4 linked regions of the Anolis sagrei genome follow. The protein of the gene in region 1 purifies or fractionates together with the protein of each later gene. This does not show direct contact. Links are inferred from orthologs where the notes say so. Each region holds a gene or a part of one and is shown in the gene's direction. Other genes may lie near its edges.

Region 1 (6,970 bases):
AAACATGGTCAAAGCCAGGTCTTTAATTGTGCGTGGAAGGTTTGGAGGGTGGGGGGCAGCCTGTTGTTGTTGTTGTTGCCCTGCTTTCCTTTCTTATACTGGCAGGGTTGAACTAGAAGATTTTTGTGTGTGTGTCAGAAACAACTTGAGAAACTTCAAGTCACTTCTGGTGTGAGAGAATTGACTGTCTGCAAAGACCTTGCCCAGGGTACGGCTGGATGTTTTGATGTTTTCCCATCCTTGTGGGAAGCTTCTCTCATGTCCCTGCATGGGGAGCTGGAGCTGACAGAGGGAGCTCATCCGCACTCTTCCCAGATTCGAACCTCTGACCTGTCAGTCTTCAGTCCTGTTGGCACAACCCATTAACCCATTGCATCACCAGGGACTCCTAGATGATATCTTCTAACTCCATGATTCTAGGACAATGGAAGGGCGCTTCTTCCTACAGAGTACTTAGGCAACCTAATTATCCCAAAACATAGGAAGGTGTTCTCTTTGGCTAAATTCAATGTACTCCCTTCTGCTGTACTGGAGGAAAGAGATAACAAAGTACCATACGATGAATGCCTATGTCCCTCTGAGGCTGAGGCAACAGAAACTATGGATCACATTTTGTTGTACTGCTCTTTTTACCGAGACCTTCGTTAACATTTTATAAATCCTATTTTAGAAAGTTTATCAGGGAGATATGTAAAGTTTTATGTTGATTATCTTTTGGCTGACCAACACCCCAAATTACTGCTAAAGTTGCTAGCTTTTGTGCAGCAGCAATAGCTTGTCGTCACAAGATGCTGTCACACTCTTAGAAGGTTTTAATATTTACTCCAGTTTTTACCATTGTCATTTTGGCATATACGTGTTTAATACCGTTTTAACTTTCATATTCAATACTGGGTTCTAACTTTGTTTTTGACATTGTTTCTTAATGCCTAAATGTATATGTTCTTATTCTGATGTATGTACATTTATTGGTGCTGGTCATTGACCGTAAATAAATGTATATACAGTTTGAGTATCGTTCATCTGTAATTTTGAAATTGCAGATATTCCAAAACCGTTCTTAATGTTTTATGCCCAACACTAGCCATCCCCTGCCACGTGTTGCTGTGGCCTAGCCCGGTGAACTGGAAAATAAAGTAATGAGAAAGTGTTGGCTTCTAATATATGTAATTTCTTTATGCTTGTGGATAAACATTACTTCTTGTTTTTTTGGTCAATATTGATGTAGAGATTGTCTGGTTTGCCTACTCTGGAACATGGAACATATTATTGTCCTTCATTAGGAGTCCCTTTCAAATCTATATTATATCTGTCATATGTGTGTGTGAATCATATATATCTATCTATATCTATGGCTGGATGGCTCTTTGTCAGGCTTTGATTATGTTTTCTTGCCCTGGTGAAGGCAGTTGGGCTGGATGGCCTTAAGGCAGCATTTCTCAACCTGGGGGTTGGGACCACTGGGGGAGGGGATCACAGGGGGGTGCCAGAAGGGTTGCCAAAGACCACCAGAAAATACAGTGTGGTCATGGGGGTTCTGTGTGGGAAGTTTGGTACAATTCTATAGTTGGTGGAGTTCAGAATGCTCTTTGATTGTAGGTGAACTATAAATCCCAGCTACTACAGCTCCCAAATGCCATGCTCTGTTTTTCACAAACTTCACCAGTGTTCACATTTGGGTATATTGAGTATTCATGTCAAGTTTGGTCAAGATCCATTATTGTTTGAGTCCAGAGTGCCAGGTTTGGTTCAGTTCCATTGGTGAGGTTCAGAATGCTCTTTGATTATAGGTGAACTGTAAATCCCAGCAACTACAACTCTCAAATTACAAAGGTGTCTTGTGTTCAAATTTGGTGTCAATTCGTCCAGTGGTTTTTGATTTATGTTAACCCCACAAACAAACATTACATTTTTATTTATATAGACTAGCTGTCCCCTGCCACGCGTTGCTGTGGCCCAGTCTGTGTATATGTGTTTTGTGTGTGTATATATTTGTGAATATATGTGTCTTTGCATTTATATATGTGGCTTTGTACATGCATTATAATGTATATATTTTTGTTTTGTTTTGGGCTTTTAAAGTCTCTTCTGCTGTGTTTTTCAGTGTTTTATGAGTGATGGTCACTTGTCAGCCTGAGAGGCGTATTGTGTCCAAATTTGGTGTCAATTCATTCAGTGGTTTTGGAGTTATGTTAATCCCACAAACGAACATTACATTTTTGGGTTGTTGTATGCTTTTTCAGGCTGTATGGCCATGTTCTAGAGGCATTCTCTCCTCACGTTTCGCCTGCATCTATGGCAAGCATCCTCAGAGGTAGTGAGGGGTGTTGTTGATATTTGCCATAGATGCAGGCGAAACGTCAGGAGATAATGCCTCTAGAACAGTGTTTCTCAACCTGGGGGTTGGGACCCCTGAGGGGGTCGTGAGGGGGTGTCAGAGGGGTCGCCAAAGACCATAAGAAAACACAGTATTTTCTGATGGTCATGGGGATTCAATGTGGGAAGTTTGAGCCAATTCTATCGTTGGTGGAGTTCAGAATGTTCTTTGATTGTAATGAACTGTAAATCCCAGCAACTACAACTCCCAAATGTCAAGATCTATTTTCCCCAGACTCAACTAGTGATCACATTTGGGCATATTGAGTATTCATGCCAAGTTTGGTCCAGATCTACCATTGCATGAGTCCACAGTGCTCTCTGGATATAGGTGAACTACAACTTCCAAACTCAAGGTCAATGCCCATCAAACCCTTCCAGTGTTTTCCATTTGTCAGGGGAACCAAGTTTGGTTCAAATCCATCACTGATGGAGTTCAGAATGCTCTTTGATTATAAGTGAACCATAAATCCCAGCAACTACAACTCCCAAATTACAAAATCAATCCTCCCCCAACCCCACTAGCATTCACATTTGGGTGTATTGGGTGTTTGGTACAGGGAATGAAAATGCATCCTGCATATCAGATATTTACATTATGATTTATGACTGTTATGAAGTAGCAATGAAAACAATATTATGGTTGGGGGCAGGCATGTAGCCGGGGGGGGGGGGCTTGAGGGGCTTCAGCCCCCCCCCCCGAAATTCTCATGGTGGTTCGCGAAAAGGCCTTACTGGTGCATTATTTAAACTTATGTTTATTCATATCATGATCTGATCACCATACTCAATATATCCCATATGCATGGGGGTATTGGGGCAACATTACAAAAGGTTTGCTAGGCTAGACCCTCTTTCACTCAGACTCAGCCCCCCCCCGAAACTCAGCCCCCCCAAAACTCCCCCTTAAATTTTTTTAGCCCCCCCCCCCAAAACGAAATCCTGGCTACGGGCCTGGTTGGGGGTCACCACAACATGAGGGACTGTATTAAGGGGTCGCGGCATTAGGAAGGTTGAGAACCACTGCTCTAGAACATGGCCATATAGCCCAAAAAAACCTACAACAACGCAGTGATTCTGGCCGTGAAAGCCTTCGACAATACATTTTTATTTATATAGATTATGAAAAGTCATATGTATAGACCTTTGGGTGATGCATATAAAGTCTCTATGAAACATAAATGAGTTCTACGTTGAGACTTGGGTCCCATCCCTAAGCTATCTCATTATGTAACTGCAAGAATGCCAAAATCCAAAATGCAGGACTCATCTGTTCCCAAGCATTTCGGACAAGGGATGCTCAACCTGTAATCAAATGATAGACATCTTTTCAAAACCTCACTGTACGGTCTCTTCCTAAAACCTGCAGCCCTAAAGATCTCCTATAGCACTGTCGCTTAGAGTACAAGGGAATGGTGTTGAGTCACCAGATGTGTATCTGCAAATGTGTTATTTGTTTCTTCTTTTTTCTCTTTCTTATCTGCATCTCCACCTGCAGGATGCAATCCTAAAAAGAGTCAAGTCAGGAGACTTTTCTGGCTTCTCCTAGTCAGCAGATGGCGCTCCTTTAGTTACAAATCTCTATTGGAAAGAGACAGAAAAAAACCACAGAAAGAACTATATTATTTTCTTCCGATGGTGAACTGCCTTTTTTCCGTTCTCTCTTTTTTTTGTCTTCCCCTTTTTGTGTGTGTGTGTGTGTGTGCAAAGGCTGGACAGGAAAAGAAGACAAAAGAGGAGGAAGTCCAGACCGGCAGAAGCTCAAGAGGAAGAGAGATGTGCAGGAGAAGGCTTGAATAAAAAAGAAGAAGAAGAGAGAAAGAGAGAAAAGGAGGGGGGAGAGAAAAGGAGAAATTGTTGACACATCATTGACAGAGGAGGACCGCTTGATGGAGAAGCTGTGGCGAGATAGATGGAGGACCGAGTGACGCAGATGCTTTCCAGCACTGTGATTCCTGCAGTGAGCAAAAACAGGTAGAGAGGAGGGAGAGGAACAGGTAGAAAGAAAGAAAAAGATAGATAGAAAGAAAAGAGAAACAGCAAGGGAAGTGTGAGATGGGATAAAGGGAATGGACAAGCATCAACACAAGATTGCCAAGTAAATAAATACAGAGTCTTGTCATCTTCTCCGAATCCAGCTGGAATACCATCACACTCCAAAAGTTGGACCAAAAGAAAAAGAAGAAAGAGTAAAGAAAGAGTGAAATGGGATAAAGGGAACGGGCAAGCTTAAGCCAAAGGTTGCGATCCAGCTTGGAAGCCAAGATTCTTATTATCTACCCCACATCCACCTCTGACATCAACACAACCCCAAAAGTTGGACCCCGATGTCGGGACGGGCGGTTCGAGCAGAGACGCGGAGCCGGGCGAAAGATGACATCAAGAAAGTGATGGCAGCCATCGAACATGTCCGGAGATGGTGAGGCCCAAGGCTTGATTATAGTATTTGTTGACAGTGGTCCAACTTTGGCCAGAAATGTAGTTAAATGTATTGTCGAAGGCTTTCATGGCCAGAATCATTGGTTTGTTGCAGGTTTTTTCGGGCTATATGCCTGCATCTATGGCGAGCATCCTCAGAGGTAGTGAGGATACCTCTGAGGATGCTTGCCTCACTACCTCTGAGGATGCTTGTCATAGATGCAGGCGAAACGTCAGGAGAGAATGCCTCTCAACCATGGCCATATAGCCCAGAAAAACCTACAACAACCCTGTAGTTAAATGGGTTGTCTTAAGTTTTTCGGGCTGTATGGCTATGTTCTAGAAGCATTCTCTCCTGCCGTTTCGCCTGCATCTGTGGCAGGCATCCTCAGAGGTTGTGAGGTCTGTTGGAAGCTAGGAAAATGGGGTTTATATATCTGTGGAAGGTCCAGGGTGCTTCAGAGCACTTGATGAACATAATGCCTGCCACAGATGCAGGCAAAACGTCAGGAGACAATGCTTCTAGAACATAGCCATACAGCTCGAAAAAAATTACAACAACCCAGTGATTCCTGCCATGAAAGCCTTTGACAATACAAATGTGGTTAACGTAGGCAAACCTATCTATTTTTGGTCAGTCATCAGATCACTGCAGTAAGTGTTTTATTGGGACTTCACAGGGACCTGGCAACCTTATATTATTTCTGTGTTGTGGGTACATTGTTGGACCTCCAAACCAAGCTTCCAAGGTGTGGGGCACAGGATTAATTTAATGTGTCTTTATTATTGTTTGCCATGCCCCTATCTACACTGCCATGTAATGCAGTATGAAATTACATTATATCAGGTATGGGCAAACTTTGGCCTTCCAGGTGTTTTGGACTTCAACTCCCACAATTCCTAACAGCCGGAGTTGAAGTCCAAAACACCTGGAGGGCTGAAGTTTACCCATGCCTGCTTTGTATGGTTAGCGTAGACTCATATAATGCAGTTCAGTGCAGTTAAACTGCATTCTAGAGTGGGCTGGATCCAAATTTAATTTGTATTTCCCCCCCTAAGGAACTGGTTACAGTTTAGAAAAGTTACTCTTAAAATTATACCTCCTAGAACTGTCATTATGCCAGCCAACAGGGAAAACATGCATGCTGCCTGATTGGGAAGGAGTTCTAGGAACTATAGTCCAAAAAAAGAGCAACTTGCAAGCTTTGTATTAAACGACTATGACTAAACTGCAGTGGTGCAACATATCTGATGCAACCACATTATTCTTTCTCTAAGGAGAGGTAAATACCCGTTTTTAGATGGGTTGTGAGTTCTTCGGTGTATGCAGTTTGTGCAGGTGGTCGTTATTGTTGTTAGTATAATATTTATTTATACCTCACTATCCTCTAATTCAGTGTTTCTCAACCTGGGGGTCAGGACTCCTGGGGGGGTCGCAAAGGGGTGTCTGAGGGGTCACCTCGCAACCAATTTTCTGTAGGTCATGGATTTCTATGTGGGATGTTAGGCCCAGTTCTATTGTTGATGGAGTTCAGAATGCTCTTTGATTGTAGGTGAACTATAAATCCCAGCAACTACAACTCCCAAATGTCAATTCCCCAAACTCCACCAGTATTCACATTTGGGCATATTGAGTATCCAAGCCAAGTTTGGTCCAGATCAATCATTGTTTGAGTCTGCAGTGCTCTCTGGATGTAGGTGAACTACAGCTCCAAAGCTCAAGGCCAATGCTCACTGAACCCTTCCAGGATTTTCTCTTGGTCGTGGGAGTTCTGTGTGCCAGGTTGGTTCAATTCCATCGTTGGTAGAGTTCAGAGTGTAGGTGAACTATATATCCCAGCAACTACAACTCCCAAATGACAAAATCATCCCCCTCCCCCAACCCCAGCAGAATTCAAATTTGGCCGTATTGGGTATTTGTGCCAAATTTCGTCCAGTGAATGAATACATTCTGCATATCAGAGATTTACATTACGATTCATAACAGTAGCAAAATTATAGTTACGAAGTAGCAATAAAAATAATTTTATGGTTGGGGGGCACCACAACATGAGGAACTATATTAAGGGGTCGCGGCATTAGGACGGTTGAGAACCACTGCCCTAAAAGCACCAGATTCCATCTATCGAAAGCCTAGCAGGGTCAGTTCTGGCTAGTATTTGGATGGGAGAGCATC
Region 2 (7,535 bases), on another chromosome or scaffold:
ACTATTGCTGCTCTGGCTTGCAGGTGCTGTTGGCTTGTTGGTATCATTAGTTATGTAATACTCTTTTAATTCTATTTCAAATGATTTTTGGTTTCTGTAAATTGATTTCTATGTCAATTTTTTTTTGTGTCGAGTTGAGTTACTTGATAGCTAAGTTTAATTTGACTGTAGATATTGGTTCACTTGGGACTTGGTCAGGCTGTTATTGTACAGGGTTAGTCAAAATGAATAGGCCAATAAGAAAATTAATTGTACCCGAATTGGCCTATTCATTTTGACTAACCCTGTACTTGTATTTGAATTTATGGTCATGTGAAGGCACTGAAATTTTGCCTTTTTGTTTGTTGGAATCTGTCCTGAATCCCCTTGGGGAGATAAGAGTTTTATTATTATTATTATTATTATTTGAAACACAACAAGATGAGCTCACAGCAGACAAGATCACTCTGCTGGCTGTTGTATTGGATCACACATCGGACACTTCCCAAGTGTCTAGGATTGTGTGATATATTGGCGAATAATGTGTGCAGATCCCAGTAAGGTGACATTCTGCAGCTAGCAGATGGTAATTTTGTCAGTGTCGATTGTGTTTAAATGCATGCCAAGGTCTTTAGGCACTGCACCCAGTGTGCCAATCACCACTGGAACCACCTTTACTGGTTTGTACCAGAGTCTTTGCAGTTCGATCTTTAAATCCTCATATCGTGTCAGTTTTTCCAGTTGTTTCTCTTCAATCCTGCTGTCACATCGACAATCCGTACTTTGTTTTTTAACATGATCGTGAGGTCAGAAGTATTGTGCTCCAAAACTCTGTCTGTCTGAATTTGGAAGTTCCAGAGTAGTTTGACATGTTCATTTTCTGTAACTTTTTTCCAGATTATGATTCCACCAGTTCTTTGTTGCAGGCAAATGGTATTTGTGGTATTATTATTATTATTTAATCTGCTAAAGATTGCTGGTGCCTTGCCAAACTACAACTCTCATGAGCCACGGCTCTTAATGTGGGCAAGTCAATGAGATGTGGAAAAAAATATATTAATGTATGAAAACGAATTCAAGAGGACTAATAAGGACAGGGCTAACACATAAATATATCTGTTTATCCTTCCAATGAATTATGCTGGGGGAAATGGAAGGAAAAAGGAAGAGGGGTCGACCAAGGGCAAGATGGATGGATGGTATCCTTGAAGTGACTGGACTGACCTTGAATGAGCTGGGGGTGGTGACGACCGACAGGGAGCTCTGGCATGGACTGGTCCATGAAGTCACGAAGAGTCAGAAACAACGTAACGAATGAACAACAACAGCCTTCCAATAATCAGCATAGCACCCCTAATATCTGGGCCCCCCTGGTGGTGCAGCAGATTAAACCGCCAAGCTGCTGAACTTGCTGACCAAAAGGTTGGCAGTTTGAATGCGGGTGAGCTTCTGCTGTTAGCCCCAGCTTTTGCCAAGCTAGCAGTTCAAAAAGATGCAAATTGCACCACAATTCAAGAGAGATATTGACAAACTGGGATGTGTCCAGAGGAGGGCGACTAAAATGATCAAGGGTCTGAAGAACAAGCCCTATGAGGAGCAGCTTAAAGAGCTGGGCATGTTTAGCCTGAAGAAGAGAAGGCTGAGATGAGACATGATAATAATGTATAAATACGTGAGAAGAAGTCACAGGGATGAGGGAGCAAGCTTGTTTTCTGCATCCTTGGACACTAGGACGTGAAACAATGGCTTCAAACTACGAGAGGAGATTCCATCTGAACATGAGGAAGAACTTCCTGACTGTGAGAGCTGTTCAGCAGTGGAACTCTCTGCCCCGGAGTGTGGTGGAGGCTCCTTCTTTGGAAGCTTTTAAACAGAGGCTGGATGGCCATCTGTCAGGGGTGCTTTGAATGCAATATTCCTGCTTCTTGGCAGGGGGTTGGACTGGATGGCCCATGAGGTCTCTTCCAACTCTTTGATTCTATAGCAGATCAATAGGTAGCATTTCAGTGGGAAGGCAATGGCACTCCATGCAGTCATGCTGGCCGCATGACCTTGGAGGTGTCTACGGACGACGCCGGCTCTTCAGCTTAGAAATGGAGATGAGCACAAACCCCAAGAGTCAGACACTATAATGTCAGGGGAAACCTTTGCCTTTACCTATTTATTTGTCGTGTCAGATCAACCAGTCAATTATATTACATTTCTAACAGAACAAAGCAAACAGACAAAATACAATACCTTTACCTTACCTACCCCTAATAGCTGCTAAACTGTACATGGGTTTGGGTCAACTTGGGCCCTTTAGGTGTTCTGGACTCCAACTACCGGCTGTTAGGAATTGTAGGAGTTGGGAGTCCCAAACACCTGCGCATGCGCAGTGCAGCGGCACCCTAAGAGACTCTGGTGGCGCTTCCCCCTCCTTCTCTCTCACCTTGCCTTTCCGCACGCGCTGCACCTCAGCCTGGAACTCTTGCTGTCGGTCCAGGTCCAAGGAAAGGAGCGGGGCCGCCTGTCTGGCCTTGGCTTTCGCCTTCGCCGCGGAAGAGCCTTCTGTTACCGCCGCCATGGCGCCTCCGCAGCAGGAAAAGGGGCCGCCTCTGCCTCACACGGCGTGTGGCTGCCAAGAAACGGAAGCCTCCTCTCGTCACTTCCGCTTGGCTGGCTTGGTGCCACAGTAGGAACAAGGACGGCAGAACAGCGGCCCCTGCTGGCTGGGGGCGGAAGTACTGGATGAGGAGTGACTCCAGTGATATTCACAAATGCAAAGACAGCCAGACCTCCATATCCTCGCATTCTATATAATATAATATAATATAATATAATATAATATAATATAATATAATATAATATAATATAATATAATATAATATAATATAATATAATATAATAATCATCATTGTATATCATAGGATATACGTGTGTGTGTGTTTAAATTTGGGTCCCATATACATTTCTCTCTCTCTCTCTCTCTCTCTCTCTCTGAAGAGCAACCTTTGATTTTGCCATTTTACAGAAAGGTCAACATTTTACTATGTTGTTGGGCCCTGTTCCATTATCATCACTGTATATCACATGAGATATGTATGAACTTGGATCCTATATATATATATATATAATCATAGAATCAAAAAGTTGATCATACAGTATTGGATAATCAAGAAAGGTATTTTATGCAAGGCTGCACTTAGAATCAAAGACTTGGAAGAGACCTCATGGGCCATCCGGTCCAACCCTCTGCCAAGAAGCAGGAATATTGCATTCAAATCACCCCCGACAAATGGCCATCCAGCCTATGATTAAAAGCTTCCAAAGAAGGAGCCTCTACTACACTCCAGGGCAGAGAGTTCCACTGCTGAACAGCTCTCACAGTCAGGAAGTTCTTCCTCATTTTCAGATTGAATCTCCTCTCTTGTAGTTTGAAGCCATTGTTCCGTTGCGTCCTAGTCTCCAAGGAAGCAGGAAACAAGCTTGCTCCCTCCTCCCTGTGGCTTCCTCTCACATATTTATACATGGCTATCATATCTCCTCTCAGCCTTCTCTTCTTCAGGCTAAACATGCCCAGCTCCTTAAGCCGCTTCTCATAGGGCTTGGCTAGTGTATGTATGTATGTATATATATATATATATATATATATATATATATATATATATATATATATACTAGCCATCCCCTGCCATGCGTTGCTGTGGCCCACATGGGGGTTCTGTGTGGGCGGTTTGGCCCAATTCTATTGTTGGTGGGATTCAGAAGGCACTGTGATTGTAGATGAACTATAAATCCCAGCAACTACAACTCCCAAATGTCAAGATTCTGTTTTCCCCAAACTCCACCAGTGTTCACATTTGGTTATATTGAGTATTCTTGTAGAGTTTGGTCCAGATCCATCATTGTTTGAGTCCACAGTGCTCTATGGATGTAGGTGAACTACAACTCCCAAACTCAAGGTCAATGTCCAGCAAACCCTTCCAATATTTTCTGTTGGTCATGGGAGTTCTGTGTACCAAGTTTGGTTCAATTCCATTGTTGGTGGAGTTCAGAATGCTCTTTGATTGTAGGTGAACTATAAATCCCAGCAACTACAACTCCCAAATGACAAAATCATAATTTTTTGAGTGATGGTCACTCCTTGTGTTGTGAGACGTTTTGTTGCCAAATTTGGTGTGATTTCATTCATTGGTTCTTTTGTATATATATAGATAGATATAGAAGATAGATAGATTAATTAATTAATTAATAAATTAAATAAAAATATTAATAAAAATAAATTAAAATAATTAAAATAAAAAATAAAACAGATTAAACTCCCAAGCAAAACATGCAGAAATCCAATGCTCTCCCTTGACTAGACTTTTCCCTCTGTGCTGATCTTCCCACCAAAACTACTACAAGGCAACCAAACTTGAATCTTCTCCTCCCATTGGAGGGACACAAACCCTATGATACCTACTAGGCAAAACGAAAGCCAATCAGGAGAGCCCTTTGCAGTTGGCTCCTCCAGCGATAGGCGGGCTTTGGAACAGCGGCGGGCTGCCGATTGGTGGAGAGAGGGAGAGGAGGCGGGCCTTAGCGAGGTAGAACGGGAGAAAGGGATCCCGCCGCGCGCTGTGAAGAGAAGCAGAGCGGAGCCTCGGTTGCAGCCATGAGCGGCGGGGTCTACGGAGGAGGTGAGCGGAGGGCTTGGCGCATGCGCGAGATGGGAAAGCCAGGCGGGGCTGCGGCGCCTTTAAGACCGAAGGGAAGGGGACTCTCCTTTGAATGACTCTGGAGTGGAAAGCAGGCTAGACTCTCTGAAGTTGCAGCTAGACCAGGCCTGGGCCAACTTGGGCCCTCCAGGGGTTTTGGACTACAACTCCCACAATTCCTAACAGCCGGTAGGCTGTTAGGAATTGTGGGAGTTGTAGTCCAAAACCCCTGGAGGGCCCAAGTTGGCCCAGGCCTGCCTGATCAGAAATACAAGCTGATGGCTTTGCTGACATCTTCCAAACTAGCTCTCACTCCTTGATGGATTGTCACTTTGTTGTGTTTGGAGACTTGTTAGGAGACTTGTTGTGGTTAGGAGACTTGTGTCTTCCAGGCCTCTGTAACTTCAATGTATTTTGCCCATAAACTTACTTATTTATTTGTTTATTTATTTATGATATTTCTACCCCGCCTTTCTCGAATCCGAAGGTGACTCAAGGCGGCTTTTCAACATCAATCCAGACAAGACAGAGGTCCTCCTGGTCAGACGCAAGGCCAAACAGGGCATAGGGTTACACTCCCCCTTTTATTTTGTCGTGTCAGGAGCGACACAAGAGACTGCAAGTCGCTTCTGGTGTGAGAGAATTGGCCGTCTGCAAGGGTGTTGCCCAGGGGACGCCCAGATGGTGCAGGTTTGCAGCTTGGGAGTCATCCTGGATTCATCGTTGAGCCTGGAACACCAGGTTTCGGCGGTGACCAGGAGAGCTTTTCCCGTACCTTGGGAAGTCTGACTTGGCCACGGTGGTCCAAGATCTACAAGCCACTCTAAATACCTTTGCAGAAGCGTACACGAAACTTGGCCCGTCACTGAACATCGAGAAAACCAAAGTGCTGTTCTAGCAGTCACCAGCCATCCCCTCTCCAATGCCAGAGATACAATGGTGCAACATTAGAAAATGTTGACCATTTCCGCTACCTTGGCAGCCACCTCTCCACCAAAGTCAACATCGACACCGAAATACAACACCACCTGAGCTCTATGAGTGCAGCATTTTCCCGAATGAAGCAGAGAGTGTTTGAGAACCAGGACATCCGTAGGGATACCAAGGTGATTGTCTATAAAGCTATTGTCCTCCCAACCCTGCTATATGCCTGTGAGACGTGGACTGTCTACAGACGTCACATGCAACTCCTGGGAAGACAAGCAGACAAACGTCAGTGTGCTGGAAGAAGCAAAGACCACCAGCATTGAAGTGATGGTCCTCTGCCATCAACTCTGCTGGACCGGCTACGTTGTCTGGATGCCTGACCACCGTCTCCCAAGGCAGTTGCTGTACTCTGAACTTAAGAATAGAAAACGGAACGTTGATGGACAGGAAAAGAGATTTAAAGATGGGCTCAAAGCCAACCTTAAAAACTGTGGCATAGACACCGAGAACTGGAAAGACCTGTCCCTTGACCGCTCCAGCTGGAGGTCAGCTGTGACCAGCAGTGCTGCAGAATTTGAAGAGGCAGGAATGGGGGGCGAAAGAGAGAAACGTGCCAGGAGAAAGGTGCGTCAAGCCAACCCCGACCAAGACCGCCTTCCACCTGGAAACCAATGCCCTCACTGCGGGAGAAGATGCAGATCAAGAATTGGGCTCCACAGTCACCTATGGACCCACCAGAATACTGAGCCTGGAAGACTATCCTACTCGGCAGCCAGTGGAGATGGTGTAACAAGGGCGTTGTGCACTGCCTGTACCCAGCCCCAGTGAGCAACCTGGCTACTGAACGTTGGACTAGTTGAGGCTTCCGGGCAGTCTTCCGGGTTGCCTCTGAAGACTGCCCGGAAACTGCAATAAGTCCAACGCTCGGCAGCCAGGCTACGGACAGGAGCGGGGTACAGGGAGCACACAACTCCTCTGTTGCGCCAGCTCCACAGGCTGTCAATTACCTTCCAAGCACAATTCAAAGTGCTGGTTTTAACCTACAAAACCAGATACGGTTTCGGTCCAGTTTACCTGTCCGAACGTATTCTCCCCTATGAACCATCAAGGCTGTTAAGATCTTCCAGAGGGGCTCTGCTCTCAGTTCCACCACTTTTGCAATTGTGTCTGGTGGGGACGAGAGACCGGGCCTTTTCCATGGTGGCCCCTCGGCTATGGAACTCTCTCCCAAATGAGATTAGATCTGCCCCCTCTCTCCTTACCTTCAGGAAGCTAGTGAAATCCTGGCTATGGATTGAAGCTTTCCCAGAATAATGGCTGAGACCGGCAACAGACTAAAGTTATTGACATATGCGGACTAAGTTGGACATGATTTTACCTTGGTGAACTGGCTTATATGTATTTTACTTTATATGTATTTTAATCTACTGTTGTATGATGTTTTAAACTGTGTTGTGGCATTGTGAGCCGGTCTGAGTCCCTCTGTGGAGGTTGAGAAGATCGGGATATAAAAGTTTTGAATAAATAATAAATAAATAAACTTATTTGCCTCATAAGATTTTGTTTTTGTTTAATCAAAGTTATCCAGAGTCTATATTTGTGTTTGCAGATGAAGTTGGAGCTCTGGTCTTTGATATCGGGTCTTACACTGTGAGAGCTGGCTATGCTGGAGAAGACTGCCCAAAGGTAAGAACAAAAGTGGGCTGTTATTACCTGGTAACAATGGCATCGTCTACACTGCCATATAATCAAAGCAGATTATCTGGATTTTATATGGCAGTGTAGTAAGAGCCATCGTTTCGTGCCAGAAATACAGTTTAATGGTGTAACATTAGAAAATGTATTGCCGTATTCCTGAAGAATTCTCAGAGGTGATGAGGTCTGTTGGAAACTAGACAAGTGAGGTTTAAATATCTGTGGAATGTCCACGGTGGGAGAAAGAGCTTT
Region 3 (7,173 bases), on another chromosome or scaffold:
ATCCATAGTAATGACCAGTTGACCTAATTCTAGGCAAAATTTCTGGCTGAAAGGCATGGGCCAATGAAGAACAATGGGAAGCCTATGTAGCCCAGCAGCCTGCCTATGTAGCCCAGCAGTGATCAGTTTGATTGGCCTGCTAAGCCAAGGTGAGAGACCCATCAGGACAAGAGCACAATGCCGCACTCCCTTCATGCCTCCCAGAAAGAGAGATACAGCAGAGACCTATTCCCTCTGATCCTGGGGGCAATACACAGCCACCATAGCGAGTGGTATGGATAACCACAACCTTCATGAGAAGGCTGGTGCCTGAATGCAAGCAATCATGGATCTATAACTGAACAAGTTATCTTAGCAGGGTGCTCCCTTCTCATATCATGAGTATGATGTCAAGCACAAATACCCCCCCTCCCTCCAATCAACCACCAAATTATATGAACTTGGTGGCATGGCAGAGTGTTCCGCAGGTTAACATGGCTTTTATTTTTATCAGAATGAATTATGCAAAAATCCGAAGGTCTGGAGAAATCCAGCAGCATATACCAGCGCCCAGAGAATACCTCCTAATCCCATTAAGGTTTAAACTTTTTTTAAAGCATCACTTCTGCATTCTTCAGCTGTGCCAACAATGGCCCGGGCCACATGGCCCAGACCCCCCAGAGCCCCAGGACAGGGCCCATTCATAGCCTCATCCTCCAAATAGCCCCTCATAAACAACCATTGCCACCTCCTAACCACTCTGGGAGCCCCAGCAGGCTCCCAAGCCCTATTTTGCCTCTTTTTGCATTTTACTGGTATTGTAGACATTCACTTATCCGCAGATCTATATAACTTTCCTCTCTCAATTAACCTACCTCATAATCCCCTTCCTTGCACTGAATCCCCTATCCCATCACCTATGTCAACCCAACCCCCTGTGGATACGGAGATTCAGATGATCTCCCTCTTCACCCATGGGTTCATTTGCATATGTTTCCCTGGGGGGGGGGGTCAGCTTGTCTAATGTCTAGATACCTTTGCCTTCACAGAACCCTCATGTATATGTTTATCTTTTCCTTCCTATTATTTCACCTGTTTTCCCCAATGGATGCCCAGGGAGATTGACTCCCTTTGTTAACCTCATGTAGCCCCTCGTGCATGTGTCCCTATGTCCCCTGGATAGTGGGTCTCTGTGGGTCAGGTCCCCCACAGTCCTTGGGATTCCCCTTTGTGTGTATATGTTTAATTTCTTTATGCTTTGTATTATATAAAACTTGGAGAACCAGCCACCATGGTGACCTTTCAAGCCAGCACGTCTTCGCTCAGGGACACCTCCAAGCCACTCCCTGAGCTACAACTTGATAACCTTGGATGTAATCACCCAGCAATTGTGAACGGTACCCAGGCTACATGGAACAAGAGATATTGGAGCAGGGCCATCTGTAAACTATGTAGCCACTTGGACTTCTATAGACATTTACCACGAGAGAGAGAGAGACAGATCTTGTGTGAGGAGCGACTTGAAAAACTGCAAGTTGCTTCTGGTGTGAGAGAATTGGCCATCTGCAAGGACGTTGCCCAGGGGATGCCCAGATGTTTTTGATGTTTGACCATCCTTGTGGGAGGCTTCTCTCATGTCCTCGCATAAGGAACTGGAGCTGATAGCTCATCCGCGCTCTCCCCAGATTCGAACCTGCAACCTGTCGGTCTTCAGTCCTGCCGGCACAAGGGTTTAACCCACTGTGCCACCGGGGACTCCACATAGACATGACATGTTCTCAATGGGGAGAAGTTCGCTGTCTTGTTTTCCTACATGTCACTTCTGTTTTCCCAGGCACGAATCAATGATCCAATCACCCAAAGCAATATTTTTTTGTTGGACAACAAAGGACATTGGTGCGGAGTCATCACCCCACAAAGTCAGAAATTCACAGGACCATTTGCAAAACAATAAAATACTCAGCGATACCTTAATCCCATTCGATTTTTCCAACTTGTTACTATGTTGCTGTTGTGTAAAGTTTCCGTTCAGCCCCTCTTCAGCCATTGGAGAGCACTACATCTATATCCGAGGCAAGGAAAGTTCTCCCATGACCAGTGAACACCGCAGTCACACCTCTGCAGAGAGACTCCTCTGACATCATCGGAGTTTGGCCAATCACAGCCAATCTGGGTCCAGTTGCGGGCAGTGGGAATTTTGAATCTGTACTGTATAAAATGCTTACTTTTACTATGTCTGTATCTCAGCTTACTTTGGTGGGATACTGCGGGTTGAGATCTCAACCAGCTGATTGAATAAAATACTTTGGTGGCTCCATCTCCAATTTAGCTCACCAGGCGCTCGGACTCGTGAAATGGTTGTCGACTGGTACCAGCTGCTGCTTAACAGAGCCGGTATCTGTGCCTTCAGGTTCCAGTATCCATGGCAGGGTCTCATCCATGACCGTTTTAAATTGCTCTCAATTTCAAGTAAACACACAAAAAATAAATAAATTAAGTTAAAAGCTTGGAGTCGTGGTTTGAGTGACTCTAGAGACCAGCTAAAATAAGTTAACATTCAGGTTAACGTAAGTCAGAAATAACTTGAAAGTACACAACAAAAAGGGAAATTACATTAGGATTGGGCTACCTAATCCTCTCTGAATCAAGCCTTATAATGTGCTCCTTAGACCAGACCCATCCACGTCAACAGGGCGTCCTTTTCAGTCAAGGCCATATAATGCAGTTTAAAACTAGTCTTCACGCATGGTTTATTTAACTCATATCATATCTTGTGTGATTAATGTGTATTTTACAGAAATGCTTTGATTTGTATCTTTTATGGAAATTAATTTTAATATGTTTGTAGAATTTTTATAATTGTTAACTGTGCTGTGGGAAGGCTGTGGGAAGGCAGATAGGAAATACAATTATTATTACTATTATTATTACATTACATATGGCCAGTGTAGGCTCATATTAATGCAGCCTAGTACAGTTCAAAATACACGAGTCTGCACTTATATAATACAGTTCCAAAGTAATAAGGGCCTTATCACACTCCACTCTTAAATGGCTATTGTTCCACTTTAATGGTAATGGCAATATTTTGCAGAATGACCTAGCTTATAGTTTAGCAAGGCCCAGTAGCTTTTTTGGCTGACAACAATAAATGGCCTGGGTTTCTGTGAGTTTTCTGGGCTGTATGGCCATGTTCCAGAAGCATTCTCTCCTGATGTTTCGTCTGCATCTATGGCTGGCATCTTCAGAAGTTGTGGCATGTGTTGGAATCTAGGCAAGTGGGGTTTATATATCTGTGGAACATTCCGAGTGGGAGAAAGAACTCGTCTTGGGTTGTTGTAGGTTTTTTCGGGTTGTATGGCCATGGTCTATAGCAGGGGTCCTCAAACTTTTTAAACAGAGGGCCAGGTCACAGTCCCTCAAACTGTTGGAGGGCCGGATTATAATTTGGAAAAAAAAAAAACATGAATGAATTCCTATGCACACTGCATGTATCTTATTTGTAGTGCAAAAAAACCCACTTAAAACAATACTGTAATTAAAATGAAGAACAATTTGAACAAATATAAACTTATTGGCTGATGAGATAGGATTGTTGTTGTTGTTGTTGTCGTTGTGTGGTTTCAAGTCGTTTCACACTTAGTTTGATCCTGAGTGAGGGCCGGATAAATGACCTTGGAGGGCCGTATCCGGCCCCCAGGCCTTAGTTTGAGGACCCCTGGTCTAGAGGCATTCTCTCCTGACGTTTCGCCTGCATCTACGGCAAGCATCCTCAGAGGTAGTGAGGTTTCACTACCTCTGAGGATGCTTGCCATAGATGCAGGCGAAACGTCAGGAGAGAATGCCTCTAGACCATGGCTATACAGCCCGAAAAAACCTACAACAACTCAGTGATTCTGGCCATGAAAGCCTTCGACAACTTTTGGCTTGTTTGAGGCAAGTGTGAATGTTGCAATTGGCCACTTGATTAGCATGGAATGGCCTTTCCCCATACGAACAGAGAAGGGCGCTCCTGACGCAGGCTGCAATGGCAGGCCGCCGTCCAGCAGGGGGAGTCCCGCGGGGCGCTCCTCTGCGCCTCTCTCTCTCCCCAGCCGGCGGCGCTCTACCCGCCCGCGGGCGGCGTCTCCATGGTGCAGCGGCGCTCCATCTCCTGAGCCGACATCCGCCTCCCCTCCGCGCTTTGTACTGCCCAGGGAGGGAAGATGGCGGCGCGGGCGGGCTTCCAGGCGGTCGCTCCGAGCGGTGGCGGCGGCGGAGCCGGGCCTGGAGCGGGGCCTTTAGGGCCTGGCGCCGCGGGGGGGCCTCCGGTGCGGATGGGCCCGGCCCCGGGGCAAGGGATGTACCGCTCGCCGTTGCCCGGCGCCGCCTACCCGGTACCGACCCGGCCGGGCTTGGGAGGGGAAAGAGAGGAGGCGAGAAGGGGCGGGGCCAGGAGGGGGCGGGGCTTGGCGGGCGATGACGTCGGCGGAGGGAGCCGCACTGCAGTGGGCGGGGCCTGGCAGGCCTAGAGGGAGGGAGAGGGAGGAGGGGAGCCATTCCAGAAAGATGGAGGCGGAGAAGAGGGCGCCATCCTTTCAGGGGGGATTTGGGGGATAGTAGGCTCTCTTGAAAGAGAGGGCAATATGGGGGTGAGGCTGCAAGGGCGAGTGGGGAGAGACTCCGGGGTGAGCATGACGCCCTCGAAAGGGGGAATGGCGGGGGATCCAAGGGACACGGGGCTTCAAGGGGGGAGGGAGAGGGGGAGGGGAGGCAGGGCGGGGCTGGGCCAGAGGGCCTTTTGTGGCTTGCCTCTCTTCGATTTCACTGCCTTTGTAGCATCTCCCTCCGCCTGAGTGTGTTTTCCTTTTTTAACAAGGAAACAAAAGGAGAACAATGTCTCAGCATGAAATCAGAGGCATAAAATTATAGTTATGTCCTTGCTAGTGAGCTGGGGTATTTTATTAGGATTTGAATTTATCTATTTTAAACCATTCTACATTTAATTTTCTTTCAAGTTTATGTTGTTTATTGTGTTGTTTTTTAGCCTGTGGGGGAGGGCGCTTTGAGTCTCTTTATGAGAGAAAAAGCAGGATATAAATAAATAAATATTATTATTAAGGTTCCTTCTCCGGAGGTTTTTAAGCAGACTATCTGTCGGGAGAGCTTTGATTGTGTGCTCCTGCATGGAAAAATGGGGTTGAAGTGGAGGGCCCTTGCAAATCCATAGAATCCTAGTGTTGGAAGAGACCTCATGGGCCATCTAGTCCAACCCCCTACCAAGAAGCAGGAAAATTGTATAAAGCACCCCTGACAGATGGCCAACTGTATGATGCTAGGATTCTATGATTTAGTACTATTTATTTATTTTGTATCAAAAGCATTGCTTGAATTAGTATAAACTAATAAAAATAGAAGGAGTGCAGGCGGCTAAGTATCTTTTGACCAAAAACGGGCAACAGCAATGGCATTGTCTGTAGCCTCCAACAGTTCTTCCTTTGTACGTGAGGCAAGGCATAGTGGACCAAGCATACAGATGCGGAGTTGTCTGTTCTGCTCCATAGTCATACAATAATAATGGGCGAGGGTTCAGGTTTCTGGACCCAGAGGTGCTGAAAAGATATTGAAGCTAAAGGCTGGCTTATGCAGTTAGTAAGGCTAAATGATAAGTATTTTTTCATTACTTTGCATGTCAAGTAAGAGTTGCATGGCTGGATGCTTAACTGTTGGGAAGGTAATGACTTTTCTTTACATGGAGGAACAGCATGCAATGGCTGGGCATAGGCCAAACACTCTCAACCTCCAGCTGTTTGGGCCTCCGTCTCCCAGAATTCCTGACCATTGAACAAGCTGGCATGGGCTTCTGGGACCTGAAAGCCCAAATAACTGGAGGGCCACAGTTTGAAGAGACCTAGCATAGACTGAGAGGGCCTGTCATTGGTGCTGCTTATTTGGGGTGGGGGGGGGGGGGAGTGAAGAGAGAAATCAGTCCTGAGGGCTTGAAAGCTGTCTGGGGGGGTGGGATCTCTGACTCTGTGCAAAGGGCTACAATCCCCTCCCCACTCTGTCCAAAAGCACGCACCTTGTATAGTGAGTCTCTAGGCATGGGCAAACTTGAACCCTTCCAGGTGTTTTGGACTTCAACTTCTGCAATTCCTAACCAGCCCAGGCCCTTTCCTTTTCCCCCTCATCCCCTTAAGCATTCCAGCCTAAGAGAAAAGAGAACTTTCTGGGAAATGTTACATTTTTGGAAAGGAGGGAGAAAATAACCTATAGGAACAGATTTAGATATTCCAGAAAGGACTGTGAGCCAGCTTCTTGTATAAACCAGTTGTAATAAATGTTCTTTGCAACTAAGGATAAAACTATTGCAGAAGAATGAATGCAGTTTAGCACCACTTTGGTTCCATACTTTGGAGTTGTGGGAGTTTTAGTTTGATGAGACATCATCACTCTTTGGCAGAGAAGGCAAAGGACCCTTTAAAATTACAACTCCCAAGATCCCATAGTATGGCGCCATGGCAGTTAAAAGTGATGTCAAACTGCATGAGTTCTACACTGTAGATGAACCCAAGGTGTTTTGCTGTTGAGTAACCAGTGCTTTTCCTGACTGAACACTGGTAATCACAGGGCTGTTTTTCCTCCTTTCCCAGCGTCCCGGGATGCTGCCTGGCAGCCGCATGAACCCCCAGGGACCTGCAATGGGGCCTCCGGGGTATGGCGGGAGCCCTTCAGTCCGACCAGGGATGGCTCAGTCAGGGATGGACCAGTCTCGCAAGAGGCCAGCCCCTCAGCAGATCCAACAAGTGCAGCAGCAGTCCGTGCAGAATCGTAATCACAAGTAAGAAGCGCTTTTTCTCCTCTAGGGGTGGGGGACTACAACTCCCATTGCCCAACTATATTGGAATAGGATGACGGAAAATGTAGTATAATACACCAAGTTGGGGAAGGCCAGTTACAGATTTCTTTTCAGATGTGTCTTTAAAAATACCTTATACTAGTGTTTCAGTAACATGATCTTAAAGTTGGAAGATGGGGTGACAGAAGCTACAAAATGAGAGGTTGAGGCAGTATGAGCCCTGGTAATTGTCCCAATCAAATTAGGCGCGTGGATTCTTTTTTTTTTTCAGTAGTGAGTCAACATACGTGTAGATCTCATAACTTCAGTGAGTCCACTCTATCTGGATCTGTCAGTCAAATTTGGACCTCAGTATT
Region 4 (7,459 bases), about 24 Mb from region 1:
CATCTCACAGGCATATAGCAGGATTGGGAGGACAATAGCTTTATAAACAAGCACCTTGGTATCCCTACGGATGTCCCGGTCCTCAAACACTCTCTGCTTCATTTGGAAAAAAGCTGCACTCGCAGAGCTCAGGCGGTGCTGTATTTCAGTGTCAATGTTGACTTTTGTGGAGATGTGGCTGCCATGGTAGAGGAAATCAGGCCCGTAGCCAGGATTTCGATTGGGGGGGGGGGGTCTGAGTTTGTTTCGGGGGGGGGGGGGGCTGAGTCTGAGTGAAAGAGGGTCTAGCCTAGCAAACCTTTTGTATCGTTACCCCAGTACCCCCATGCATATGGGATATATTGAGCATGGTGATCAGATCATGATATGAATAAACATAACAGTTTAAACAATGCACCAGTAAGGCCTTTTCACGAACCACCATGAGAATTTCGGGGGGGGGGGGGGGGGGTTAAGCCCCTCGAGCCCCCCCCCCTCCCCCCGGCTACATGCCTGGCAGAAATGGTCAACATTTTCTAATGTTACACCATTAAGCTGTATTTCTGGCATTGGAGAGCAATTGGCTGGTGACTGCTGGAAGAGCACTTTGGTTTTCTCGATGTTCATTGACAGGCGAAGCTTCTCATATGCTTCCGCAAAGGTGTTAAGAGTGGCTTGTAGACCTTCTTCTGAATGCGCACAGATGATGTTGTCATCAACATATTGGAGTTCTATAACAAATGTTGTAACCTTGGTTCTGGCTTTCATTCTACTGAGGTTAAATAGCTTGCCATCTGTCCGAAATCATCGATAAATTTATTTATTTATTTATCTATCATGTCAGGAGCAGACCAAACAGCTGCATTGCATTTTTTAACAAACAAAAAAACAAACAGACAAACAAAACACAAAGTTTGCAAGCTTAGTAGTTGATTAAATGTCCTTTGACCAGTAGCTGGCCACTTGGAGTGCCTCTGGTGTTGCTGCAAGAAGGTTCTCCATTGTGCATGTGGCAGGGCTCAGGTTGCATTGCAGCAGGTGGTCTGTGGTTTGCTCTTCTCCACACTCGCATGTCGTGGATTCCACTTTGTAACCCCATTTCTTAAGGTTGGCTCTGCATCTCGTGGTGCCAGAGCACAGTTTGTTCAGTGCTTTCCAAGTTGCCCAGTTTTCTGTGTGCCCAGGGAGGAGTCTCTCATTTGGTATCAGTCATTGATTGAGGTTCTAAGTTTGATCCTGCCACTTTTGGACTCTCACTTGCTGAGGTGTTCCAGCGAGTGTCTCTGTAGATCTAAGAAAACTATTTCTTGATACCCAAACAGGTGATGAGCTGGAGATGTCACTGCCTTGGTCATTTCACTATTGGTTGCTACTTCCCGGCGGATGTCAGGTGGTGCAATAACGGCTAAGCAGTGTAATTTCTCCAGTGGTGTAGGGCGCAGACACCCTGTGATAATGCGGCATGTCTCATTAAGAGCCACATCTACTGTTTTAGTGTGGTGAGATGTGTTCCACACTGGGCATGCATACTCAGCAGCAGAGTAGCATAGCGCAAGGGCAGATGTCTTCACTGTGTCTGGTTGTGATCCCCAGGTTGTGCCAGTCAGTTTTCATATGATATTGTTCTTAGCACCCACTTTTGCTTGATATTCAGGCAGTGCTTCTTATAGGTCAGAGCATGGTCCAGAGTGACGCCCAGATATTTGGGTGTGCTGCAATGCTCCAGTGGGATTCCTTCCCAGGTAATCCTCAGAGCTCGGGATGCTTGTCTGTTCTTAAGGTGAAAAGCACATGTCTGTGTTTTAGATGGGTTAGGAATCAGCTGGTTTTCCCTGTAATAGGCAGTAAGATTACCTAGAGCTTCGGAGAGCTTCTGTTCAACCATCTCAAAGCTCCCTGCTTGAGCAGTAATGGCACGATCATCAGCATAGATGAAACTCTCTGTCCCTTCTGGCAGTGGCTCGTCTTTTGTGTAAATGTTGAACATGGATGGAGCAAGCACACTCCCCTGAGGCAGGCCATTCTTCTCTTTCCGCCATCTGCTTCTCTGGCCCTGGAACTCAACAAAGAAGCTCCTGTTTTGTATCAGGTTTCCTATGAGGCGGGTGAGATGGTAGTCCTTTGTGATATTATACATCTTTCTCAGGAGGAGGCGGTGGTTTACAATACCATAAGCCACTGACAGGTCTATGAAGACAGCTCCTGTGATCTGCTGCCTTTCAAAGCCATCTTCTATGCGCTGAGTCAGGTTCAGCACTTGCGATGTGCAGCTTTTGCCTTTCTTGAAGCCAGCTTGCTGTGGGATCAGACATTGGTCTATTTTTTCCGTAATTCTATGCAAAATAAGTCTCTCCAGAACTTTGTAGAGGTGGCACAACAGGGAGATTAATCTATAGCTATTTGGATCATTACGGCCTTTGCCTGGCTTCAAGATGGCAATGACTCTTGCTTTCCTCCAGATTTTGGGGATCTGACAGGATGCAGTGCAATTGTTCATCTGTTCCAGCAGCCAGCGCCTTGCTTTTGGACCAAAGTTCTTGATTTGTTCCATCCATAGATCATCCAGGCCAGCTGCTTTGCCATTTTTACATTTATTGGGAGCCATGTCCAATTCAGTAGATGTGCTGTCGCATGCTGGGCCTGTGCATAAGACTGTAGACAGGACACAAATTCTGTGTGCCCAACGGGACGCTGGGGCTGCCTCAGATTAAAGACCCTTGAATTTCCCCAGACAGAGTCTTTAGATTGCTTAAAGGTTCAACAAAGTTCTTTATTATTGAAAACAAACAGGTACTTCAAGGCTTTCTTAATAGTCTATTGACTCTTGTCCACTGGGAACAGTCACTATCTTCTTAACTGTAACTAACTAATGGGGAAATCCTTAACTTCTAATCTGGGCAGTCTGTCTTTGCCTCTGTTGGCGTGGAGCCCCTGCACCCGGTACCAACTGCGTCTGGCTTCCACGAGCGACCCTTACCAAGCAGAGCTTTGTAGACTTCCAGGGAAAAAGGAGTTCAGGTTTCAGTGATGGCTGACTGAAGTCCTTCAGCAAAGGAGCTGTAAGGCTATCTGATCCTTGGCCAAGCTGTGGGCTGTATAACCCTGGCCAAGCTGTAGGCTGTATATCTCTCCGGCCAAGCCGTAGAAGACAAAGCTTTCTACTAGGCCTGGGTAACAACGGAAAAATTTGTTTCTAAAATCGATTAGTTTTTTGGGGGTTTTTGCGTTTTGGTTTTAAAAAGAATTCCGAAATTTTTCTTTTAAAAAGTTCGATATTTACGAAATTTCGTAAATGTTAAAAAAATTACGAAACAATAACGAATCGATTTCGAAACAATAACGAATCAATTCGTTAATGGCGGACGCGACCGCGAAATACGCTAAAAAACCTCCAAATGGGACAGGGGGAACTTCTGAAGCTTCCCTCTCCCTCTGTTGTTGACTGTTGGTGTGATATTATAATTTTTTTTAACTAATTAAACAAAAAACAACTATAAAACTTGCCCCAGACATGCGGAAATAATAACGAAACGACTTCAAAACGATAACGAAACGAATACATAACGAATCTGAAACAATTACGAAACAAATTTAAAAATTCGTTTCGTTTTAAAGTTGCTCCAGAATGGTTCGTTATTGCTTCGTTATAAAAAAAATAACGATTTTTTAACGAATTACGAATTAACGAAACGAAACCACCCAGCCCTACTTTCTACAGGAGCTCTTGGTTTTATGTCATGTGCGAAAGGCTTCGCTGTGTGGACTGACCCAAAAAGGCTCCTATTCCCTCCAAAAACCCAAAAGGGGGACAGGACCAGGGAACCTAACTATAATTGACAGGTGGCTTGCCCTATGATTGCAGCCAAAAGAAGCCACGTATCTGCAGAGTCCCTGAAACTTAGGACTGCAACAAACATTCAATGCAAAACAAACAAAATTGGAGCTCCTGGTGCAGTTGTACCAGCACAGTAGATGTAAAAGGTTCTTGAAGGTTGTTGTTCTCAATATCTGGTTGCCTGGCTATTGGTTTCTTTCCTACTTTGGTGGCAAGGTTGGGTTTCGATAGATTATTATATATATATATACTGGGCATTGTTTTTTGTATTTGTAACGCTAGATATATGTGTGTGTGAATGTATGTATATATGTATGAGAGACAACTATGGATTGGACATAAACATTCCAGTCAGAGGGAGAGTGTGTGTGTGTGTTTGCCCTCGTGACTGGGCCGCGTGCCTCTCTGAGGCGCTTCTTTGGCGCTGGGCCTCGTCAGGCGCTCATTGGCCTCGCTTCCCTCCCTTTCCCTCTCTCAGTCCCCCCGCCTCCTTTCCCGCTCTCTTGGCGGTTGACGGAGAGGGCGGTCCTGGGGGGAGGGGCCTGCCGCTGCCGGGGCCTCCGATTGGCTGAGGGAGCCGTTCGCCTCGTCAGTCAATCGAAGCCGCTTCCTCTTCTCTCCCCTCAGACGGCGGTTGCCTCCGATTGAGGAAGGACTCGTCTCTTGCTTCTCCTCCGATGGCCGGGCGCGGCGGGAACTTCCCCATGGCCTCGCCGCCCGAGAGGCTGCCTTCCATGGCGCTCTCGGCCTCAGCAGGCGTCCCTCTTCCCCCGGGGCCCGGAGGCGGTGTGCTTTTGCGAGGAGGGCCCAGCCCCGGGGCCACCCCATTCCGGCCCATGGCGCACGGAGTCCCCTTCCAAGTAGGTGGCTTCTGGAGGAGGGAGTGTCGGGGAGCAGCACACACGAGGAAGGCATGGCTTTTAGACACGTGTCTGGGCCAGGAAAGGTTTGGCTTTCAAAGCAAGCTGCTGTTGTGTGCCTTTGAATGTTTTTTCCCCATCTCTTGTTTGGTTTTGTTTTGTTGATTTGCCCAGAAGTTGTTTGCTTTGCCTTCTCTGAGGCTGAGAGAGTGTGTGACCCGCCTGGTGGGCTTCCATGGCAGAGGCGCTGTCTACACTGCTGTCAAATCCAGTTTCTGAATCCACTTCACACTATGTAACACGATTATTGTTCCTGGGTTATTTCCATCATTTCCTAATTGGTTCTATAGAATCAAAGAGTTGGAAGAGACCTCATGGGCCATCCAGTCCAACCCCATTCTGCCAAGAAGCAGGAATTTTGCATTCAAATCACCCTTGACAGATGGCCATCCAGCCTCTGTTTAAAAGCTTCCAAAGAAGGAGCCTCCACCACACTCCAGGGCAGAGAGTTCCACTGCTGAACGGCTCTCACAGTCAGGAAGTTCTTCCTCATGTTCAGATGGAATCTCCTTTCTTGTAGTTTGAAGCCATTGTTCCTTGTCCTAGTCTCCAGGGAAGCAGAAAACAGGAGAGCAACTAAAATGATAAAAGGTCTGGAGAACAAGCGGCTTAAAGAGCTGGGCATGTTTAGCCTGAAGAAGAGAAGGCTGAGAGGGGATATGATAGCCATGTATAAATATGTGAGAGGAAGCCACAGGGAGGAGGGAGCAAGTTTGTTTTCTGCTTCCTTGGAGACTAGGACACGGAACAATGGCTTCAAACTACAAGAGAGGAGATTCCATCTGAACACGAGGAAGAACTTCCTGACTGTGAGAGCCGTTCAGCAGTGGAACTCTCTGCCCCGGAGTGTGGTGGAGGCTCCTTCTTTGGAAGCTCTTTAACAGAGGCTGGATGGCCATCTGTCAGGGGAGATTTGAATGCAATATTCCTGCTTCTTGGCAGGGGGTTGGACTGGATGGCCCATGAGGTCTCTTCCAACTCTTTGATTCTATGATTCTATGATTCTATGAAACAAGCTTGCTCCCTCCTCCCTGTGGCTTCCTCTCACATATTTATACATGGCTATCATATCTCCCCTCAGCCTTCTCTTCTTCAGGTTAAACATGCCCAGCTCCTTAAGCCGCTCCTCATAGGGCTTGTTCTCCAGATCCTTGATCATTTTAGTCGCCCTCCTCTGGACACATTCCAGCTTGTGAATGTCTCTCTTGAATTGTGGTGCCCAGAATTGGACACAGTATTCCAGGTGTGGTCTAACCAAAGCAGAATAGAGGGGTAGCATTACTTCCCTAGATCTATCATTAAAAACATGAAAAAAGTTTATGAAATTGCAAAAAAAAATATGTTTTTTTTGCAGGACATCCTGCAGGACATTTTGCTACAGGTCTTCAATTAACATTTGATTTATCGTGTCAGAAGTGAATTAAGAAAACAATTATAATTTTTTTGTCCTGTCAGGAGCAACTTGAGAAACTGCAAGTCGCTTCTGGTGTGAGAGAATTGGTCATCTGCAAAGATGTTGCCCAGGGGATGCCTGGATTTTTATTTATTTATTTATTTTTGTTGTGTCAGGAGCGACTTGAGAAACTGCAAGTTGCTTCTGGTGTGAGAGAATTGGCCGTCTGCTAGGACATTGCCCAGGGGACGCCCGGATGATTTGATGTTTTTATCATCCTTGTGGGAGGCTTCTCTCATGTCCCCGCATGAGGAGCTGGAGCTGATAGAGGGAGCTCATCCGCCTCTCCCCGGATTCGAACCTGCGACCTGTCGGTCTTCAGTCCTGCTGGCACAGCACTGAATACAGTCCTGTGTATTATAATGAATCTATATAAATAAAAATGTAATGTTCGTTTGTGAGATTAACATAACTCAAAAACCACTGGACGAATTGACACCAAATTCGGACACAATACCCTTATCAGGCCAACGAGTGACCATCACTCATAAAAACACTGAAAAACAAAGCAGAAGAATCTTAAAAGCCAAAAAATAAAAAAATTCATTACAACGCATGTGCAGAACGACATATATATACGCAAACAAATATATACACATATACACACACAAAGAACATATATATAGACTGGGCCATAGCAACGCGTGGCAAGGGATGGTAGTTTAAAATAAACACAAACAAAGTTAAAAACTTGGCATAATGCAAAAATTTCTGTGCCTCTGGTGTCACTGAAAGAAGGTCCTCTATTGTGCATGTGACAGGGCTCAGCCTGCATTGTAGTTAAGTGATATGTGGTTTGCTCTTCTCCACACTCTCATGTCGTTGACTCCACTTTGTGGCCCAATTTCTTAAGATTGGCTCTGCATCTCGTGGTGTCAGAGCGCAGTCTGTTCAGTGTCTTCCTAGTCGCCTAGTCTTCTGTGTACCCAGAAGGGAGTTTCTGATCCTGTGTCAGCCACTGTTTGATGTTTCAAGTTTTAGCCTGCCACTTTTGGACTCGTGTTTGCCAAGATGTTCTTGCGACTATCTCTGTAGATCTTAGAAAAGTATTTTCTGATTTAAGACGTTGGAATGCTGGCTGATATCCAAACAGAGGGTGGGCTGGAGATGTCAATGCCTTGGTCCTTTCTTTACTGGCTGCTACTTCTCGATACATATCAGATGGTGCAGTACCGACCAAACAGAATAATTTTTTCAATGGCGTAGGATATAGGCATCCTGTGATAATGCGGCATGTCTCATTAAGAGCCACATCCACTGTTTTAACGTGGT

Evidence for each region. The genes of interacting proteins can lie anywhere in the genome.
Region 2: the proteins of BCL7C (region 1) and ACTL6A purify together in Homo sapiens (affinity purification with mass spectrometry; 3 studies listed by BioGRID and IntAct, counting the BioPlex papers as one, with this or other methods). This does not show direct contact. The link is inferred for Anolis sagrei from reciprocal best matches to the Homo sapiens genes BCL7C and ACTL6A.
Region 3: the proteins of BCL7C (region 1) and SMARCD1 purify together in Homo sapiens (affinity purification with mass spectrometry; 5 studies listed by BioGRID and IntAct, counting the BioPlex papers as one, with this or other methods). This does not show direct contact. The link is inferred for Anolis sagrei from reciprocal best matches to the Homo sapiens genes BCL7C and SMARCD1.
Region 4: the proteins of BCL7C (region 1) and SMARCD2 purify together in Homo sapiens (affinity purification with mass spectrometry; 3 studies listed by BioGRID and IntAct, counting the BioPlex papers as one, with this or other methods). This does not show direct contact. The link is inferred for Anolis sagrei from reciprocal best matches to the Homo sapiens genes BCL7C and SMARCD2.

The regions. Positions count from the first base shown.
Region 1 is NC_090026.1:14,296,292-14,303,261, reverse strand, and holds the start of BCL7C (B-cell CLL/lymphoma 7 protein family member C), read left to right. Parts: upstream 1-3,948; 5' UTR 3,949-4,703; coding exon 4,704-4,795; intron 4,796-6,970. UniProt on the Homo sapiens protein: May play an anti-apoptotic role.
Region 2 is NC_090023.1:257,608,912-257,616,446, forward strand, and holds the start of ACTL6A (actin-like protein 6A), read left to right. Parts: upstream 1-4,521; 5' UTR 4,522-4,618; coding exon 4,619-4,643; intron 4,644-7,197; coding exon 7,198-7,274; intron 7,275-7,535. Other genes in the region: NIFK (MKI67 FHA domain-interacting nucleolar phosphoprotein), read right to left, coding at 2,411-2,545.
Region 3 is NC_090022.1:140,190,850-140,198,022, forward strand, and holds the start of SMARCD1 (SWI/SNF-related matrix-associated actin-dependent regulator of chromatin subfamily D member 1), read left to right. Parts: upstream 1-4,159; 5' UTR 4,160-4,184; coding exon 4,185-4,355; intron 4,356-4,490; exon of another isoform or gene 4,491-4,604; coding exon of another isoform or gene 4,605-4,646; intron 4,647-6,611; coding exon 6,612-6,799; intron 6,800-7,173. UniProt on the Homo sapiens protein: Involved in transcriptional activation and repression of select genes by chromatin remodeling (alteration of DNA-nucleosome topology).
Region 4 is NC_090026.1:37,945,190-37,952,648, reverse strand, and holds the start of SMARCD2 (SWI/SNF-related matrix-associated actin-dependent regulator of chromatin subfamily D member 2), read left to right. Parts: upstream 1-4,445; 5' UTR 4,446-4,491; coding exon 4,492-4,674; intron 4,675-7,459. UniProt on the Homo sapiens protein: Involved in transcriptional activation and repression of select genes by chromatin remodeling (alteration of DNA-nucleosome topology).